Linked DNA regions of Canis lupus familiaris. The protein of the gene in region 2 interacts with the protein of the main gene of each other region in a pairwise test. Links are inferred from orthologs where the notes say so. Each region holds a gene or a part of one and is shown on either strand. Other genes may lie near its edges.

What was found.
Region 1: the proteins of GAD2 (region 2) and TMEM159 interact in binary tests that used the Homo sapiens proteins (3 or more experiments, as listed by UniProt). The two-hybrid records come from large-scale screens. The link is inferred for Canis lupus familiaris from reciprocal best matches to the Homo sapiens genes GAD2 and LDAF1.

The regions. Positions count from the first base shown.
Region 1 is NC_049227.1:24,499,108-24,503,401, forward strand, and holds the start of TMEM159 (lipid droplet assembly factor 1), read right to left. Parts: upstream 2,856-4,294; 5' UTR 2,684-2,855; intron 2,349-2,683; 5' UTR 2,299-2,348; exon of another isoform or gene 2,268-2,298; intron 1,926-2,267; exon of another isoform or gene 1,803-1,925; intron 198-1,802; 5' UTR 93-197; coding exon 1-92. UniProt on the Homo sapiens protein: Plays an important role in the formation of lipid droplets (LD) which are storage organelles at the center of lipid and energy homeostasis. In association with BSCL2/seipin, defines the sites of LD formation in the endoplasmic reticulum.
Region 2 is NC_049223.1:5,176,584-5,179,763, reverse strand, and holds the end of GAD2 (glutamate decarboxylase 2), read left to right. Parts: intron 1-2,315; coding exon 2,316-2,489; downstream 2,490-3,180. UniProt on the Homo sapiens protein: Catalyzes the production of GABA.

The DNA.
Region 1 (4,294 bases), on a different chromosome or scaffold from region 2:
GAGTTATTCTGGATGGACTCTACCAGCAAAGACAGCTTCTTCTGCAGCTCCTGCAAGTCCTTTGAGGTACTCGGAGGATCCTCTTTTGCCATCCTGAAACCAATGCCCAGTCTCTTTAGAGATCAATTCTTCTATCAGTAAGCTGTCCCGGGCAGGGCACAGTTGAATCTCTCATGTCACCCAGTCTCTTGCTGTCACTGGTGAAACAAAAAGAATCTTGAACCATTAGTATAATATTCACCTAGCTAGTTCAACAAAAGCTTCTACTATCCTCACACATTGATGGTAGGTGTGCAGGTGAAGGGTAGCTTGGCAATATCAGAATTTCTAAGCACACATACCTTCAACAATGTATTTTTCAGTAATCTGAAGGAAATAATCAAATAGGTGTATCAAAACATACAAAAAGGATGTACAGTGCAATTCTATGTGTAATATATAATAAACAGCAAAACATTGGAAAGAAGCTGTGTATCAGTAGGAAATTGGTTAAATAATGATAAGTTCATAAGATGTATTACATAGTTGTTGATAATGTGGACATCTAGTTAGTGACATGAAAACACATTCATGATAAGTGAAAAAAATTTTTAAGATATCCTATATTGTTACATAAATATATGTATTTTATGTCTATATTCCATAGTAAAATAAAAGACCTAGAAGGATATAGATCATATAATACCTAAATGTTAATGGTATTATCTCTGGGGGCTTATTTTTTCAGTCTGACAAACTGCTACAAAGAATATAGAAGCAAGAAAGCTGAATACACTATTTCAAGCCCCTCATTGCCTCCCCCCACCCCCCACCAAAAACCTTTAACAGTGATGGTGGCCAACTTCTTTATTGACTACCCACACTAAACAGGTTGGCTTCCAACCTTATAGCACCATAAATCATTCTCTGTTGACTTGTAAGTGTCCTCTTAACAGGAGAGGTGTCTCAAGGGCAGACCTAGCCACAATTATACACTGTGACTCAACAGCCTTTAATTTCCAGGACTGTCCTAAGTCATGTGACTACAAAACCAATTTGTTTAAGATCTCTTTTTCAACCTTGTTGGATTTTAAATATCAACAAATATATCATTCTCATTTTTTATTTCCCAGAACTGTAGGGCTAGACACAATTTCACCCTTATAAATGACCTCCTTACTACTGATAGTAAAAAGAAAAAAAAGGGATGCCTGGGTGGCTCAGAGGTTGAGAACCTGCCTTCAGCCAAGCAAGTGATCCTGGGGTTCCAGGATCGAGTCCCATACCAGGCTCCCTGCATGGAGCCTGCTTCTACCCCCTCTGCCTGTGTCTCTGCCTCTTTCTGTCTCTCATGAATAAATAAAATCTTAAAAAAAAAAAAAAAGAAGAGCCTCAAGGATTCTGTTATAGTGATCAAAATTAACTAAGTGATGCTGACACCTGTTTACCATATTGACTTATACCACACGGTAATTATGTGAGTTAAGGGGAGAAAGTTACTTTACCAATACCTAGAGGGTCTAAAATGCAACTTAAAGTACGTTTTCGTCACTCCAGCTAGAGAGCCTTTCCTACAGCTCCGTTTGTGAAACAGGAAACCTTTGGATCTTTGAAGATCCAACTGGCACACATCTCGTATTTGGGATGTTCCCAGGACTCAGCTCTCCTACTCTCATCTCTGCAGCAGACAGAAACAAGCCCAGCTCCCATTACCGGTCTCCAGAGGTCTAGGGAACCCAAGGGCCACCCAGACCGGTTTGGGGAGTCCGATGGTAACGAGCATGGGTAGAATGTCATGGGCCACAGCCATCAAATACATCCACCTGGCTTCCAATCCCCAGCCACTCTACAGAGGGAACTCCCAGGCACTGAGAAGTCTCTGGAGCGGAGGGCAACCTGGGATCCCCAGCGCGGCTCACAAGTTCCTTGCCTTCTCCCGGGCCCTCCAGGCTGACCCAAAAGACCACTGGCCAATCCGACCCGCGGCTCTTGCATTCCAGCCCCTCCCAGAGTTAACGGCCAACCCCAGCGTTTCAGCTGGAAGGGAGAGGGGGTGCATCTCCGGTTGGGGGAAAGGAAAGCTGGGCGCCTCGGGCCGCCCCAGGCCGCCCCCTCCCCATCTGCTTACAGTCGGTCAACCCTCGAAGACGCTAGGTGGAGCAGGCGCCCAGCTTCTAGGGATCCTTGCGCAGAGGGGAAGAGAAAGAGAGGCAGGTGCAGACGGGGAGGGTCCGCACGCGAGAGAGCACAGAGGCTAAGAAAGGGGCGTTCACGGGGGAGTGGAGTACCCGGTCATTAATGTGGGGGAGAAGAATCCACCTTTGTTCCCTGGAGAGCCCCTCTCCGCGGTGTCGGTAGAGAAGAGAGACCTGCGGGAAGGAGGGCACCCATATTCATGAATCTCGGGGAGAGGGTTTGGAGACTCCCCCGCCAGGTTTCCCAAGAAGGGACAAGGTCTCGGGGGGTGGGGTGGGATGCGCTGGCAACCCTTTTACCAAATCTAGTGGTGGGTGTGAAGAAGTGCGTGTGTTCCCAGCCCGTCTTGGGGGCTCCGAAGGGTGAGACATTCCTTTTCACTAAACTGCGGACAGCGCAGGAGACCCTCTCAACCCATGCCCCCGAGCCGCTTCGTATGCCCCTCCCCGCGAGGTGACCTAGCCAGCCCGGGCACGTTGCACCCTAGCATCCGAGATGCGAATCTCACCGGTCCTGGCGGCCGCGCTGTCCAGCCAGGGTCTGCAGGCGGAGGCACAGAAGCGCGGTGGGGGGAGGAGGAAGAGGAGCAGGGAGAGACGTTAGAGGGAGGAACTCTAGTGCGCACAGGCGGGAGCTGGCGCCTGTTTCCTGCCCCACCCAGGCTGCCGCCGTCCTCCGCCCTCGCCCCGCCCCCTCACGTCCCTGGCCCCGCCCCTCCACGCCCTGACCACGCCCCCACCGCCCTGACCCCGCCCCCTCCAACGCTCTCGCCCTCCGGCCGCTCTCGCCCCGCCCCTTCCCCCGCCCCTCAGGGCTCGGCTCTCCCCGCCCACCTCCCGAGGAAGACCGCGAAGCTGCCGCGAGGCCTCCGGCCGCGAGCTCCACACAGCGCGCTCTCCGCCTCAGCATTTTACAACCACCCTGACAGGCCCTCAATAATATACAGCTGAGGAAAATGAGGCCTGCCCTACACTCTCGGCTTGGAGTGAGCGTGCACAGGCCACCGCCGAGACAGGTGCACTTGGCCTCTGAGCACGGCTTGCACAGCGTCTTAGGGCGTCCCCTGCCTAAATACCTACACCTGAACCACCTCTCCTGGAAGCAATCCTGGAGGCCAGGACATCCAGCGATGAGGTACGGCCTGACTGGCAAGTTTTAGCTACTACGACTCACGCAGGTGCCACGAACCAGCGAGAGCCATAAAGATGGGTTAGGTTATCATTTCCACGTTTTATAATTGAAAAAGTCTAAACCCAAGGCCCTTGGTTCCACGTCAGAGCCAGGCACATGTTCCCTGGCCCCAAATCCTGGCCCATAGAGTAGGGTTTCTCCAAGGGCAGCGCTATTGACATTTTGGGCAGGAAAATTTTGTACTGAGGGGGCATCCTTGTGCTGACTTTTTATCAGTGTCCCTGGCCTCGACCCACTAGATGCCAGTAGTAATCCCCTTCCTCCCACTTGTGACAACCAAAAAAATGTCCCCAAACATTGCCAAATATCCTGTGACAGGGCACAGTTTCTGTTAAGAACCACTGCCATAGAGGTACTGGTAAAGACCAGGGTCTGAGGGAGGGGGTTCCGACAGTCCTGGGCTCTCATCTCAGGGCTGGCTCTTACCGTGTGACCTTGGGTGAGTGACCTCTCTGGGCCTGGGCTTCATCTGTAAAATGACAGGCCTGAGCTTTGGCCTGCTACTGCAGAGTTCTCAGGCCTTATCCATCCAGGGACCTAGATGGACCTTCCTTTCCTCTGTGACCTGCAGCAATAGCAGCCTGGGAAACAGTCACAGGGTTTTAGTGAGGTCAGGTGCAAGAAGAGCTGTAAAGAAGTTAGTACCTATCTGGAGTATAGGAGGAACTCAAAAAGATTCGATGGTACAGTCTTCTACCAAATAGTATCTCTAGAAATAAACAGGCTGGTGGGTAAAGAAATAAACATGGGGGCAGTAATGATAAAAAGAAGCTACAGGATCCCATCTAACTTCACAACAGCCAAGAAAAGGGCAGCTAATGGTGGAAATAGGACATGGACAGGTAAGTATCCCTAAATTCTTAAGTTTCAGGCAATCCTACATGGCTTCATGCACTTTGTTCTGCTGCAGTATGGTGGATGCCCCACC
Region 2 (3,180 bases):
GATTGTAGAGTAATTCTATTTTTAACTTTTTGAGGAAACTCCATACTGTTTTCCAGAATGGCTACACCAGTTTGCATTCCCACCAACAATGCAAGAGGGTTCCTTTGTCTCCACATCCTCATCAACACTTGTTTCTTGTATTTTTTATGTCAGCTGAGGTATGAGGTAAAATCTCATTGTAGTTTTGTTTTCCCCTGATGAGGAGTGATGTTGGGCATCTTCTCATGTATCTGTTGGCCATCTGATACTTCTTTGGAGAAATGTCTGTTCATGCCTTCTGCCCATTTTTTAATTGAATTATTTGTTTTTGGGTGTTGAGCTTTATAAATTAATTATAGATTTGGATACTAACCCTTTATACGATACGTCATTCGCACATTAAGTACTGTGAAGATGAAAACCTCACTATAAACCAATGATTAAGTGTTGATGTTCAAAAATCGCATATTCATAATAGTGTGCTCTTTGAATCAAACTGTTCATTAAAATGAATCCAACTATGATGTGAGGTATAGTCCCCATTTCAAACTGAGTTACTTACTGTGTATATCTAAGTAAGTCTAGAGCTCCCTGATATCAGCCATTCCTGGTTACATATTTGCAACAATAAATTTAAACGATCAGATGTTATATTTACAAATTGTAATGGTAAAAATGTGAATAGATCATACATATAGCTAGACATAAGTTAAATGTATTCCTCTTCCTGGATAGCTATCCCTATTATTCTAGTCTTTATTAACTAATAAGGACTTGCGGAGCCCTCAGGGTACACACAGTGCTATGCTGGCAAATAAAAGAAGTAAAAGACACTGTGTCTGCCCTTCAGTGCTTGCAGTTTCAAAATTATGGATAACTTATATTTTCTTATAAGTAAGAGGACAATAAAGGAATATCCTGTAGACAGAATCTATGGGTAAAGATCAGGTATTTACAACTTAAAAAAGAAAAGATGCTACTGGACTAGGGGAGTCAGGAAAGGCTTTATAATGCTTTATCAAGTCTGTGGTGGAGTCTTGGCATGTGTGTAGGATGCAACCTGGAAGAGAAAGGGGACTCTAATCCAAGACAAGAAGTGTGACACAATAAAACTGAGGACAAGCGTAAAGGAAGAAAAATATGTGTGGCACATTCAAGGGATATTGACTGTAGGTCTTGTCTCAGAGTTGAAGATTGATTTTAGTGACCACTTGGAAATGAATCCTCAGAGCTGAGGGACAAAATACCTTTGTGCTGAGCTAGAGAGTTTGAACTTCATCTCATACACTCTACTGACAGTAATCATTCTCTGATATATATATATATATTCTGCTTTTTGCCACAGCTGAATTCCATCATGATTAAAGAATGTATTTCATAAAATCTTATAAACTGAGATGCAAAAAGGAGAATGAAAAGACATTGGAAAGCTTTAGGGTCTCAGGAAAGAAAATTGCTTTAGGGCCTCAAAAGTCTGCTTATTTTCAGACATCACTTAGTTACCTCTTGGTTACCATTCTCTGAACTATGTTTTATTTCCAGTGTTTTTATATCTACTGAGGTTTTAAAAAAAAAACCCTCCCCCAAATGCTGTATTGCTAAACTATTTAGCCTTGGAACCAACACCCAATTCTTCCCATTCTCCCAAATCCGTAACTACATGGTTGTTAAATAACAAAAACTCCACTGAGTAAATTTTAAAGATCTAACTGGATTTATGAATTGATTCATAAATTGGGCAGCATCCCATCTAGGAAGTAGAGGGAGCTCTAAGGAGCTTATAGAAAAGGAGAGGTTTTTAAAGGCTGGACAAGGAAGTCACAAACAGAACAGAGAATTATTCCAGGTGAGGTCACCTTCCTTTGGGGAGAAGGGTCTTATTAGGTGATTACTTCATGTTTCTCTGGGAGATGGGGAGAGACCATGTGACAGAGTACCATATTGATGCTGACCAGAAGATTCCAGAGTGACCAGTTAAGACTATATTCCTGGGGGACATTGAAAGTGCAATTAGATTAGGTATAAAGCTCAGGTTTGGTGGTGTGGTCTAGCATAAGTGACTCTGTTTGGGGCCTGCAGTTTTCTTTTTCAGAAAGTCAAGGATAAGGGGGCAAGCACCTCAGAGCCTATCATTTATTATTCATTTTATCACCCTCAAGAATTTGGATGTATTAAACTGCTCTTGTCCTCCGATCCCAAAAAAACTTGGAGACAATTCCTTTAGGGGAAATATGAGTCTGGTTGTTTAGTTAAAAGCTAAAAATGCTACTTGATATTGGGTTCTTTGACTAGAAGAGTCCCCAGGGGTCACCATGCAGCTCTGGTCTCTCCCACAGGTGGCCCCAGTGATTAAAGCCCGAATGATGGAGTATGGGACCACAATGGTCAGCTATCAGCCCTTGGGAGACAAGGTCAATTTCTTCCGCATGGTTATCTCAAATCCCGCAGCAACTCACCAAGACATCGACTTCCTGATTGAAGAAATAGAACGCCTTGGACAAGATTTATAATAACATAGCTCACCAATCTGTTTCGATTCTCTAGGTAGACAATTCAGTTGTCACAAACTGTGTGAATGTATTTGTAGTTTGTTCCAAAGTAAATCTATTTCTATATTGTGGTGTCAAAGTAGAGTACAGTTTAAAAATCCAAAAAACATTGCACCTTTTAAAAATCCTTTCCTAAGTTTAGAATACCTCTCTAAAATTAGTGACAAGAGGCTGTGTTCTAATCGATAATGAAAAGCTTAAAATTGTTATAAATACTTCCCTTACTTTTAATATAGTATGCAAATCAAGCTTTATTTTCACTTCAGAGTAGTAGGATTGAATAGTGCCAAATTGCCCCTGAATCCTAAAAGGTTCTTTGGGGTGCAGTCAAAAGGAGAAAGTACATATAAAATGTATGTTGACAATAAAAACTCTTGCCTTTTTCATAGTATTAGAAAAAAATTTCTAATTTACCTATAGCAACATTTCAAATGTATTTAAATACATATAATTTTACAAAAGGAAAATATATATATTAAAAAGAAATCCTATTTTGTAACATATAGATTTTTATTTTATATGGGTTATACAAACTGCAGGGGCAGATATAAAAACTAAGCCAGATTTTTTTTTCTCTTTCTTTTAATGGAGGCACAATAAAACACTGAGCAAAGTTATTCTGAAACATAGGCCCACAAATTCTTAAAAAGGA